Linked DNA regions of Drosophila melanogaster. The protein of the gene in region 2 purifies or fractionates together with the protein of the main gene of each other region. This does not show direct contact. Each region holds a gene or a part of one and is shown on either strand. Other genes may lie near its edges. The genes, in order: CG14207, up and TpnC41C.

The links.
Region 1: the proteins of up (region 2) and CG14207 purify together in Drosophila melanogaster (affinity purification with mass spectrometry, with the first as the bait; one large-scale study listed by BioGRID). This does not show direct contact.
Region 3: the proteins of up (region 2) and TpnC41C purify together in Drosophila melanogaster (affinity purification with mass spectrometry, with the first as the bait; one large-scale study listed by BioGRID). This does not show direct contact.

What each region holds. Positions count from the first base shown.
Region 1 is NC_004354.4:19,603,483-19,607,242, reverse strand, and holds the start of CG14207 (uncharacterized protein), read right to left. Parts: upstream 2,045-3,760; 5' UTR 1,740-2,044; coding exon 1,561-1,739; intron 1-1,560.
Region 2 is NC_004354.4:13,600,607-13,604,366, reverse strand, and holds the start of up (upheld), read left to right. Parts: upstream 1-1,788; 5' UTR 1,789-1,949; intron 1,950-2,001; exon of another isoform or gene 2,002-2,138; intron 2,139-2,712; exon of another isoform or gene 2,713-2,999; intron 3,000-3,760. UniProt on the Drosophila melanogaster protein: Troponin T is the tropomyosin-binding subunit of troponin, the thin filament regulatory complex which confers calcium-sensitivity to striated muscle actomyosin ATPase activity.
Region 3 is NT_033778.4:5,068,321-5,072,080, forward strand, and holds the start of TpnC41C (troponin C at 41C), read right to left. Parts: upstream 1,891-3,760; 5' UTR 1,668-1,890; coding exon 1,662-1,667; intron 1-1,661.

The DNA.
Region 1 (3,760 bases), 6.0 Mb from region 2:
AGCGCTTCAATTGACAACACGCCACAGCCACAGCCAAGCCGCTTAGGTCAAAGGTTGCGGACAGTGGGCAGTTATGGGCGAATGATTGAATTATTTGGCAAGTATATATCCAATACTACTACTAAGCTACTAAACTACGTGGCCAATCTGTGGCGATTATTAGGCTAATCGCCCGAAGCAAGCCCTGGCGCACAACTTATGCCGCCACTGTGAGTTTCCCTTCATTTCCAATTAAATTTGCAGCCAGGAGGGCACAATACCAATTTGGGTTAATTTCCTTTCACTGCCAACTTTGACGTTGAATGGGCAAAGTTGTGGAGAGGAGCGCTACCAAGTTCTGAAACAGACGGAAGTCTGGTGGGGGGGAGGGGGGTGGAGTCGTAACATTTCTGTTGTGGCCATGCAAATGCAGTGGCGACCATGGCGAAGGCAACAACAAATAGAGTCCATCGGTTCGATTGCGTCATACGGCGAGGTCGTCCCAATAGCAACCAAAACTGGCGCCCACGCAACGCAACTCCAATGGAAAGGCTAACGAGACGCGCAACCGCGACGGCGTCGGCGACATAGTATTTGCCATTCGCCTTTGGGGCATTGTTTGTTTATTAATCGCTGATTTGGGCAATAAACCTATGTTCATTGAAAATGCCACTCGTAACATTCAACTGGAATTTCTCTCTCTCCCTCTCTCTGATTCGTATGAATATGCGAGGGTGTTAAAATACCGCCGAATCACTTAATTGACTTGCAAATGGAAATAGATTGCTAGGTAAACGCGTTTGTCACTTATGTATGCTTTAAAAACAAGTAACTACAAATGGAAATAGTTAGAGATTTAATGAACATTATTCATGTGTGCCACCGATCGTTTCAATGCTTTGCGTTTTCAAATATTTAATTTTGCTCGCAGAGACCAGATTTTAATATCTTATCTCATTATCAACAATTACATTTTTCTGCTCAGCTAGAAACCCACACACACACACACATATAACGGAATATCTTGGCACAGGTGATTCTCAAAGTTCGAAAAATTCCGTTATGCCCTACATAACGGTTGCATAAACCGTATGGGACTCGAGATCGAGCGAAAGGGGAGGGCACAAGACGCTGGCTAGCCATGTGCCGGGGCGGGGGAGGGGGATTTACTAGCGGGTGGCGGGCAGCAGATACACATGTGTTTCTTGGCCGGAGACAGCGGCGGAGAATTTAGAACTGGTGACTCATCCTCCCCCAGAGCGACGGCAAAGAAATACACATAGTGTATCTGGGGCGAGAATTGAAGCGGGCCGCTCGCCTCCTATGAGGCCCACTGTTTAGTACATACATATGTATGTATGCACGTATGTACATATGTACATACGTAGGAGAATCTGTGGGTGAAGAGCTCCAGACCAGTGGGCGATGTGGCAAGATGTGCGCCTATATTTAGAGGAGCCAACAACGAGGCGATGAGTCGAGCGATTCGGGATTGGGTTCCATCGCAGTACACCCGGTAGAATCAGGCTATGTGGAATTATCCCAGTGTTGGGATCCCACTTGTATCACTATTACGCTTACCTGGTGGACTCGAAGAAGTTCGCCTCGCGGTTCATCAGCTCGTGACGGAACTTGGCCATCTCCTCCTCCATTTTGCGCATCTCGGAGTCGAAGCGCTCGCGGATGTTGCTGAACTCCGTGTCGATGACGCTGAAGTCGCCCAGCTTGATGGGGATATTCCTCTTGTTAGCCTCGGCCATTGTTGTGCTGTTTGTGGTGGTTTATTTGGTGGTTGCTTCGCTAGATGGAATCTCCAATCTCTTCGCTGTACACTGTATACCGTATATACTGTATATACTGTATACCGTTCTATTATTCTCTGTTCTGTTCTGTTCTGCTCAACGCGCTTTCGAGCTTGTTCACTTGCTAATCGACGGAGCAACCAAAAAAAAAGGGAACTCGATGGGTTTTCTATATGTATTCGAAACTCAAGACGTTCAAGTGTGTGATTTCGGTTGGACGTATCGCACAGATAGCCGCGTTTCAATTTCTGAACTGTTTTGCATTCACAGTGTGTCTTTGCTTTTATAGCTTTCGTACCGATTGTACTTCGATTGCCGCTGCGCAGCAGTGTGGCGATATCGATAGACCGATGAAGCCGCATTTAGTCATCGATTTGCGGATTTGATTATGTTTCTATTGCCATTGGATCAAAAAGAACTTCTATCCGCAAAGGGAATTGTTTAAGCGTACTTTAACCACTAATCGTTAGCGGACCACCCAAAACACTATATTCGCTGTATTGATTTTGTATTTTATGGAAATAATGACGCACGGGGAACACATTTAGAAGTGAAACAATAGTTGTAAGACAAATTTGGTTTATACAAAATGACCGAAAACAAGGAAGCCATGATTTATTTTCCGTTAATAAGCTAGTAATTCATAAATGCAATGAAATAACATAACACATTTCAAAGCTCCTAAAAAACTTTCTAGGAACAAGTGTTCAATTAGCAACAATTAATTAGTTGATGATCAACTTGATCTTGATAAGTATGCTTAAAACTTCTCGCGTGGGAGCCATTCAGTCATGGAAGTGAGTTCCTCGAACTGTGATTCCAATTGCATCTGGTTCAGCATTTGTGTGCTGTGAGTGCGAGTGGAAAGTGTGAGTATGAGTCGTGTTGAGTTAACCGGTTAACCGATCAACGCTTCCTACCGTTTTGGGAAATGATCTTCGGTATAGAGAGAAAGAGAGAGAGAGAGAGAGAGAGTTGCACATTGGTGGAAAGTGCATTTTCCGTCCTGCGGTGGGTTGGCATTATCCATCGTCCTAAAATAGAACATCTATGGCGTGATGGCCCACGATATCTTGTCCATATTCGCGGGGTTACTTACACCCAGAGCTCATCATCATTAAGACCTTAAATCAAAAAGCCAATTCCGCCCATTGTGCGAATCGATAAATCCCAATATTAGACCGGGTGGGTGGAGAACGTTGGCGGCCCAAATACACGCAGAAAAATATATGTCATATATACATATGTAAATTTAAATATCTCTATGCTGAGCTAAGATTGGAAATTGTACTGTTGTAAGCTTGTTAGCTATAATAGGATATGTTTCCTAATCTAACAGAGAGGCATTATAGTATCTTAGTATCTGTGTCGTTTTCTGCCAGTGTGCTTGGCCATATCCATGGTACTACCCACTCCGCCGCATCGGTTTGTTTGTAAACAAATGCGAAATGACTCAGCCGCGTGACATTGGCGGTCGGAGTCGAGAATCGGGAATCGAGCCAAGTCGAGTCCATTCGATTCGATTCAATTCCTTTTAGGGAGCGTCGGCCAGGGGAATTAAAATTTAAATTGAAATTAATGAGAGCCGGATTGCAAAGTTGCAACTGCAGAAAAAATGTGCGATATATATTCATAAGTTTTATGAACCATATGCATATTTAGCTAGACAAACTAGATTTTTCTTCAACTTAACAATTGCATCTCTCATCCATAAGAAAACTCATTAGCTGGAAATTTGATATCTTTTAAAGCTGTTATTGCCTGCACATAACTTACATTCTTTTGTTTTTTTTTTTTAAGTGCAAGTGCGACATATTAAAATGCAATATTTTGAATCCGTGACCGTTTTACTGCTCGAAATTCCATCGGGGACAACGGCAGTTGTGCCATCAAAATAATTATAGACTTAATCACGAATTTCGAAAATAAAACGACAATCATCGTGGCTTAACGGCTGAGGTGTTTTCATTGTACATCCA
Region 2 (3,760 bases):
ATTTCATGCACTAAATCCCAGATAACTCGAACTGCCCACCTGTGTCCCATTGCGATTCTGTAGTTTTGTGGTTTTTGGCAAGCCATGCATAATACCTAGACCCATACATATCACATACACATACATATCTAATTATCTATGCATACATATCTATCTATCTGCGTATCTGGTGTGTGCATTTTGCATTTCGCAGAGGTGCAGATACAAAAATGTTCTAAATTTAAGATACTTGGTAACCAAAAACGAAATCAAAACAAATGCCGAAACTTTGCGACTATATAGTAATTTTACTATTGGAGAATATTGTAATATATATAATTTTAAAATAATATTCATCGCATGTTTTTAATTTACACAGAAGTCTATTTATTTGAACAACTTGTTTATGCAAGGAATTAAGAGAAGTCTTAAATTAATTTTTCTATAATCATATATAATGTAATGTAATCATAATATAATGTAATGTAATCATATATAATGTAATCATGTATGTATAAAAATTTTTACCCAGATTTTGAGGAACTTTGAGATAGCCCAAATATTTTTTTTTGCAGTATTAATAATTTAAGAAGATACAAGTGCAAGCGAAAAACTAAAAATTTTTTTTTTTTTTTATATTCTTCTAGAATTTATATCTAATTTTATGAAAAATTTGGCAAAAAAAAAAACAACGGAAATCGATGTTGATGAAAGTACATTTTTAAAATATTGTAAGTTTTTGCTTTATTTTAATTTTATTAATACTAGAATACAGAAACAAAATTAAATACAGAACAAAATATGTTTCACTACCCTTACTTAATACAAATATTTCTTATGTGTTATGATGTTTATTAAACGATATGAAAAAATTAATTTTTTTGGCAAAATTTACATATAGGAAAAAGAGATTTTGTCAAATTCTTCAAATTGATTTTGTATGCTTCGAAAAAATAACCCAATAAAGAATGAATTAAATTCGATAGCTTAAAGTGCTGCAAGGCGCGTAAGTGTATCTGAAACTATTTGCCAAAAGTATCTGTTAGAAAGTAAAATAAAAAAAATAGCATAGAAAAAGGAGAGAAATAAAAAAAGAAAATCGGAACAATGACGAATAGATTCAAGTGTTAGACAAATGGCAATGCGATGGGGCCACCTAAGGCCGTTCGACGTCAGCAGTTCGATCGCGATATAGATATAGGTAAATAAATATATATATATATATATATATATATAGGGGGTGATCGGTGATCGCGGCGGACTGGGTTGGAGATTTTGTAGGGCGTGCACTCTGGGGTTCAAATGCTGCAACGATCCGCTGAGGAATCCAAACTATATGTGCTATATATCGGCACGAACATCTGTACGTATATATTATAGAGCAATATATGCAGGCCGACTTTTTAATGGCTGTGAAATTTATGCTCTACGATATTTGATTCCAAAAACAAATGTGTAAAATGCCGCCAACGCACCGAACGTCCGTATGCGCTATATACTTATTGTATGATCTAGTTATGTGCGTGCGCCATTATGGTCTAATGTATAGTATATACTAATATCGTATGCCTCATCTCGCTCTGGCCAAAATGGAAAATTGGAAAACTCGACGGCGGCTGTGTGCGTGTACAAGTTTATGTTTCAGCTGCAGCCCACCTGAAAAATTCACCCAAAACACATCGAACACAGCCAACACAGGCAGGCGCACCCACCACCACCCACTTGTTGCCACATCGGCCAGCGATATGTGGCATATAGCGCTGGCCTGCTCGCACACATGGCCAGCTATTGGCTATATAGAAAGGCGATCGGTGTGTGCGTGGAAATGGCTTTTCCGCGAACGCGACGAAAAATTCTTTAACATAACGTGTAGCAGCGCTTTTCATCGTCAGTTTGGTTAGTCGAACCGCAGCATTCGCTCCTACGACGTCAGCTGCTCGGACTTCAATTCAATTTGTTTTTCTCCCTAAGTAAGTTTTTTTTTTTCTGTTTCTGCTCTACTGCTGCTTCACATCTCCTTCAAATGCTGCATCACCAAAAAAATAAAAAGAAAATATAAAATAAACTTGTGTGCCTAAAAACGAAAAGAAAGTTATCGAAAACGAGAAAACCGAATCCTTTGCGAATAAACCACGAACCACGAACATCAACAAAAGAAAGTTACGAATTGGAAAATCCTAGTGTTATATAACATTTTATTTTTTTTTTTGAAATTTTTTTAAAGTGCAATCTACGAACAAATAGTGCGAATAAATGACTTGAAAGCCACCAAAAAAACGAACTCTGAAGCCAACTTTTTCAAAAAATTTTTTTTTTTTAAACTTTTTTTTTTTATTATGGCTAAAGGCTAAAAATAATTTGAAAAAATTCGCCCAGGCATTGGCGGCGCCAAAAACAATATTCAACGGCAACTACAACAACAGGATTAGCCGCAGCAGCAACAACAACAACAAAATCAAAAGCAACAACAATGCCAGACAGGAATCTATACATATAAATATACATATACATATATGTATATCTTTTTGCTTTCTGAAAGTGTTATATGATCTGAGAGGAAAAGTTCTCAAATTTTTTTCGACGAATTTTAAAAATAAATTCGATTCGTATGTGTGCGCGAGCGAGTGTGTTTTTACCTTGGCAAAATGTCCAAGATACACACACACACACACACAGAGAAACACACACACACAGATACGTAGAGTGAAAACTTTTTTCAATAGCTTTCCGCGCAGGCGCCGATCAGATATGTTAAAGATATAGTAGGCGAAAACGAGACGGAACTATAGCCACCCACACAAGATCGATGGCGAATAGAGATCTGGAGATTTTTGGAGGATATATATAGGACTATAAATGGAAACAGGGCACAGATAGATTGAATTAAAGAAAGGGAAATTTGTAGAGTAAATTCGATAAGGATATAATGACAGGATATAAAAACAGCATATGACAGTTTTATGTTGCTAGGCAGGAAGTAGCTAACACTTACTCAAACTTTGAACTTGAAAAGACAAAAAGTAAGATTCAAAACCATGTTTTTGAAACTAACATGTATGATCAGTAACATTTTTGTATATGTAAGTGTGAAAAGACGATAGACGTATATTTCTGATAGTCTGTCGGATGATATTTAGATCATTACCAGTTTCAATTGAAAAGTTTGTTCAATTTTTCCAGAACTTTTCTCAATACATTTCACATCATTTCCAAGCACTTGCCCCAAAACTGACCCAGTTTATCTAAGGCTAAAAATACAAGCTCAGCAATTGCACTTCCACGCAAAAGTGCAAAGATTATAGAAATAGAATATTCATAATCATAGAAATTTCAAATAGCATATTAAATATATAAATTCGTGGCATAATAACTGGCATAGATATATACAGGCGATCTATGAATGGCATTTGATTTGATTTTCTTTTCATTACACACAAGTACGCCCAAATATATATCAATACATATACATATATAAATTGAAAAGCTTCTTTAGATTTTCCGATTTAGTGCCAAGGTAAAAAAAAAAACGAAAATTTTCAAAAAAGGCTTTGTCCGAAGCTTTTTGATGTTTTCGGAAGCTTTCGGCTCTCGGGAAATTCAATACTGCCCCAAAGTCTATTTTTAATTGAGAAAAAATCGGAGGAAAATGAAAAAACACACATACATAGATTGGACTACGACTCTCTCCTTCGCACACACACAGTTATAGATTGTGGATATAGATAGCATGGGAAATTAAATAATTTTAGAGCAGAGCGTACGGAATTTATCGTTTATTTTT
Region 3 (3,760 bases), on a different chromosome or scaffold from region 2:
AAAACAATTTTTCTATCAACCCGTTACTCGTAGGATAAAAGTGTTAACTAGATTTCCAGACAGGCAGACCATATAAAGTATATATATTCTTGATCAGCATCAAAAGCCGAGTTGATATTTCCATGTCCGTCTGTCCGTATTCAGCGTCTCGATTTCAGCTTTCTGAAATTAAGCTTACAGATTCTAGAGACATATACGGAAGGCAAGTTCATTGACTCATGCTGCCACGATCACTCTAACGACCACAAATCGCAGAAAATTGCCCACACTTTTTAAAAATGTTTTGATATTTTTAAATTTTTTTGTTTGTAAATTTCTATCGATTTGCAAAAAAACTTTTATGTCTTTTAAATTTGTATCGATTTTCCAAAAATCTTTTTGCCGCGCCCACTCTAACGCCATAATACCGCAGAAAACTGGGAGAACCCCACTATAGCATTCTCTCTTCTTCTATTTCTTAGTAAGATGTTCTCAAGTTAGCTCCACTTATCTGCACTAATCTTGACCCACTTAACTTGTTAACTAGAGCACTTTCTTTACCTTTTCTTTCTAAATATGAATCTCTGTTTTAGAAAAGTAACAAATTCAATAAACCCCATCTTTGATATTTTTGTAGAAAGAAGCTTTTTCGTCCCTAAAAAGAATATAGGTATAAGCATAATCAGTATCAGGACCACTACCCGAGTCAATCTGGTCGTCAGTTGGTCAGCTATTCTGATCATATACACGCGATTTTGGGATCCATAAAAGCTAGAAAATAGAAACGACGGATTCAGAAGAATCTTTAAGGCTACTTTCAAATTAACCACGGATTTCGATATTTATACCCATTACTCGTAGAGGGTTTACTAGATTTGTTGAAAAGTATGTAACAGGCAGAAGAAAGAGTTTTCGACTATATAACGTAAATATATTCTTGATCAGGAACAATAGCCGAGTCGATCTGGCCACGTCCGTCTGTCCGTATGAACGTCGAGATCTCAGGAACTATAAAAGCTAGAAGGTCTTGTAAATTTCTATAGATTTGCCAAAAAACTTTTTGCCACGCCACTCAAACGCCCTAAAGCCGCCAAATCGGTCACGCCCACACTTTTCTTTATTTTTTTCTCATTTTACTCCCCAATATCTGTCGATATCCCAGAAAAATAATGCAATTCGCGTTCGCGAACTCGACTATAGCATTCTCTCTTGTTATACCTTAGATAGGCAGGAAGATGGACATGACCTGGTCGATTCGACTAGTGATCAAGAATGGGTGTATATAGATGTAAATGTACCTGTACATGCGGACAGACGGACTGACTGACAGACGGACCAAAAACGTAAGATTCCTTAAAGTAAAAATGTAGTATTTGCAAATCAAATACATGTGTGAGCTGTTTAATGATGTTTAAAGAAATATTAGTTGAATGTACAATATGTTTATTCTCTGACTTAATTGAAAAGTTATCGAGCAAACATTGCTGGAACGTGGGCGTTAAGCATTAACTCTCTATATAAAACGTTATATCGTTACTTATTTTATTTGAACTGATTGCACCCTGAAAAACGTTCAGTATTGAGATCATCTGAAATAATTTTGACTCCTTTAATCTTGAAATTTTAACTCGAAGTAGCTTGGAAACTTATACTGGGATTATTTTTTTTGCCGATTAACTTACGCTCATTTTTTTAGCTCTTTGGATTAATCTCTAATATTAAAAAATTGAACACTCCGTTAATTAAAAGCTAAATAAACAATTGAAGACGAGAAATAAACTTGGTATTGACGCGATTAAAACACATATGGGCTATGTGTCTTCTGTGGATGCATCTCAACATTCAGGAACATTTTAGACTTAATACGATGATAGCTCTGCAACTATTTTTGTTGAAACAAAAACAACAATTAAAACCAAATAAAAAAGACAACATAAATATTCCGTATGTCATGTAACTCAAAGATAATTTTATCCACAAGACAGAAAAATACTCAGAGTTTTATTTTTAGATACACAATATTCATCAAAATTCTTTATTTTTATAAACCGTACATTGCATTAGATCTTGGAACGTATTATAAAATGGTATTTGTGAACAAAAATTGCAATTCAAAAACAAGAGCGAACGCTATAATTTTGTTTCTCGCCCTTCTGATACTCAGCGTGTGGGAGTGTAAGGGAAATGGAGACACAAAAAACAAAATTAGAAAACACTCTTCACGAGATTACTCACAATTGCAACCTGGTAGCGGTTACATTTATTGTGGACGTGGCCAATCTTTTTGGGCATACTTATAGAAATTGGTCAAAAAAATTATGAATAGAATAAAAATATAACATTTCCTAAGCTTATACACCCTCGCAGTTATTATATATAAAAAATCATGAAAAAATCATATTATGAAACATAAAACAACGGAATATATTTTTTATACCCTTGACTACAAGATTCGTTATTAAATATGTAACAGGCAGAAGGTTGATTTTCCGATCCTATAAAGTATATACATTTTTGATCAGAAAGTTTCAAAAATCGGTCCCGCTCTCACTAGCTGAATAGCGGATCTATTGCTTTATTTGCTTATCTTCTGGCCAATTTATGTTTGAATACATTTCGAAAATGCTCCCCGTAAGTGGTGCAAAATCTAAAAAAATTATTATATTTACATTAAGAACCTATGTACACTTAAAACCAAAAGCACTTATCTATAAGACAAAAACTTGAGTAACCAAGAGCTAGAGGAGACTTCTCCGACACAATAAAGACCACTCTGGTTTTAAACTCGAAAGAGCTCAGTATGCCCCCTTTGGGAATACCGATAACTATATCCAAACTCATCAGCTTCCCCCTTTGGACACACTGATAACTTGGGCGCTGCCCGAGTTAACAGAAAAACGTTTTTTTGGACCGATTCAATGCGGTCCGAGTGAACGACGTATTGAGGACTCCAGACAGGTGGCCATTACTCAAAAATCAGACGGACTAAGGTTTTGGTCGTGTAAGGATCATAAAATTCCTTTGGCCACCTTTTTATAAAGCCAAGCACACCCCTGGCCTTATTTAATATTCGAAATATGGTCTAAAATTTAAGTTTAGGTCCAGAAAAACACCAAGATCATCAACCCGTTTTATTCTGTCTAAAGAGCGACCCTTTAAGTGCAAGTTGTGTGTATTGGTTGATACGGCAAAAGGTCATAACTTTACACTTGGAGCCATTTAAGTTTAGTACGTTATCACGGCACCATATTTGAAAGATATCTAGATCGGATTGTAAGTTCAAACTGGACTTATGATATGAATTCGTATCTTCGTAACAGAACAAGACGATCAATTCTTTCTACGATAGAAAAGGCGTTTGATTCCCTTGGATTGATAAGTCCAACTCTAAGTCGGTGGCAATATTTTTTCTGAATACTAAAATAAGACAGTCTGGCCTATGGCCTTCGATTTCAAAAACTGTGGAACAAGCCCGTTGTGAAGAATCAAATTTTTTTATTATATAATATCATATTCATTTTCGAGTGTGACAGGGACAGCTATGGCTAAGGGAGGAATATGAGTAACAAATGAACGAGTCCGTGTATTAACTGTGATCATGTCGCATGCGAGTATTCCGGGCATTGCCGCAGAGTTTTCCCATCAGTGTTAACTACTATTATGCCGTCTCCGAGTATTACGGGCATTTTCGTAGAGTTTCTCAGCAGTGTTACCTGCAACGGTGCCGCCTGCGTGTAGCCGGCCCCGTGTGCATTAGCTTGCCACCAGTATAGCTGTAATT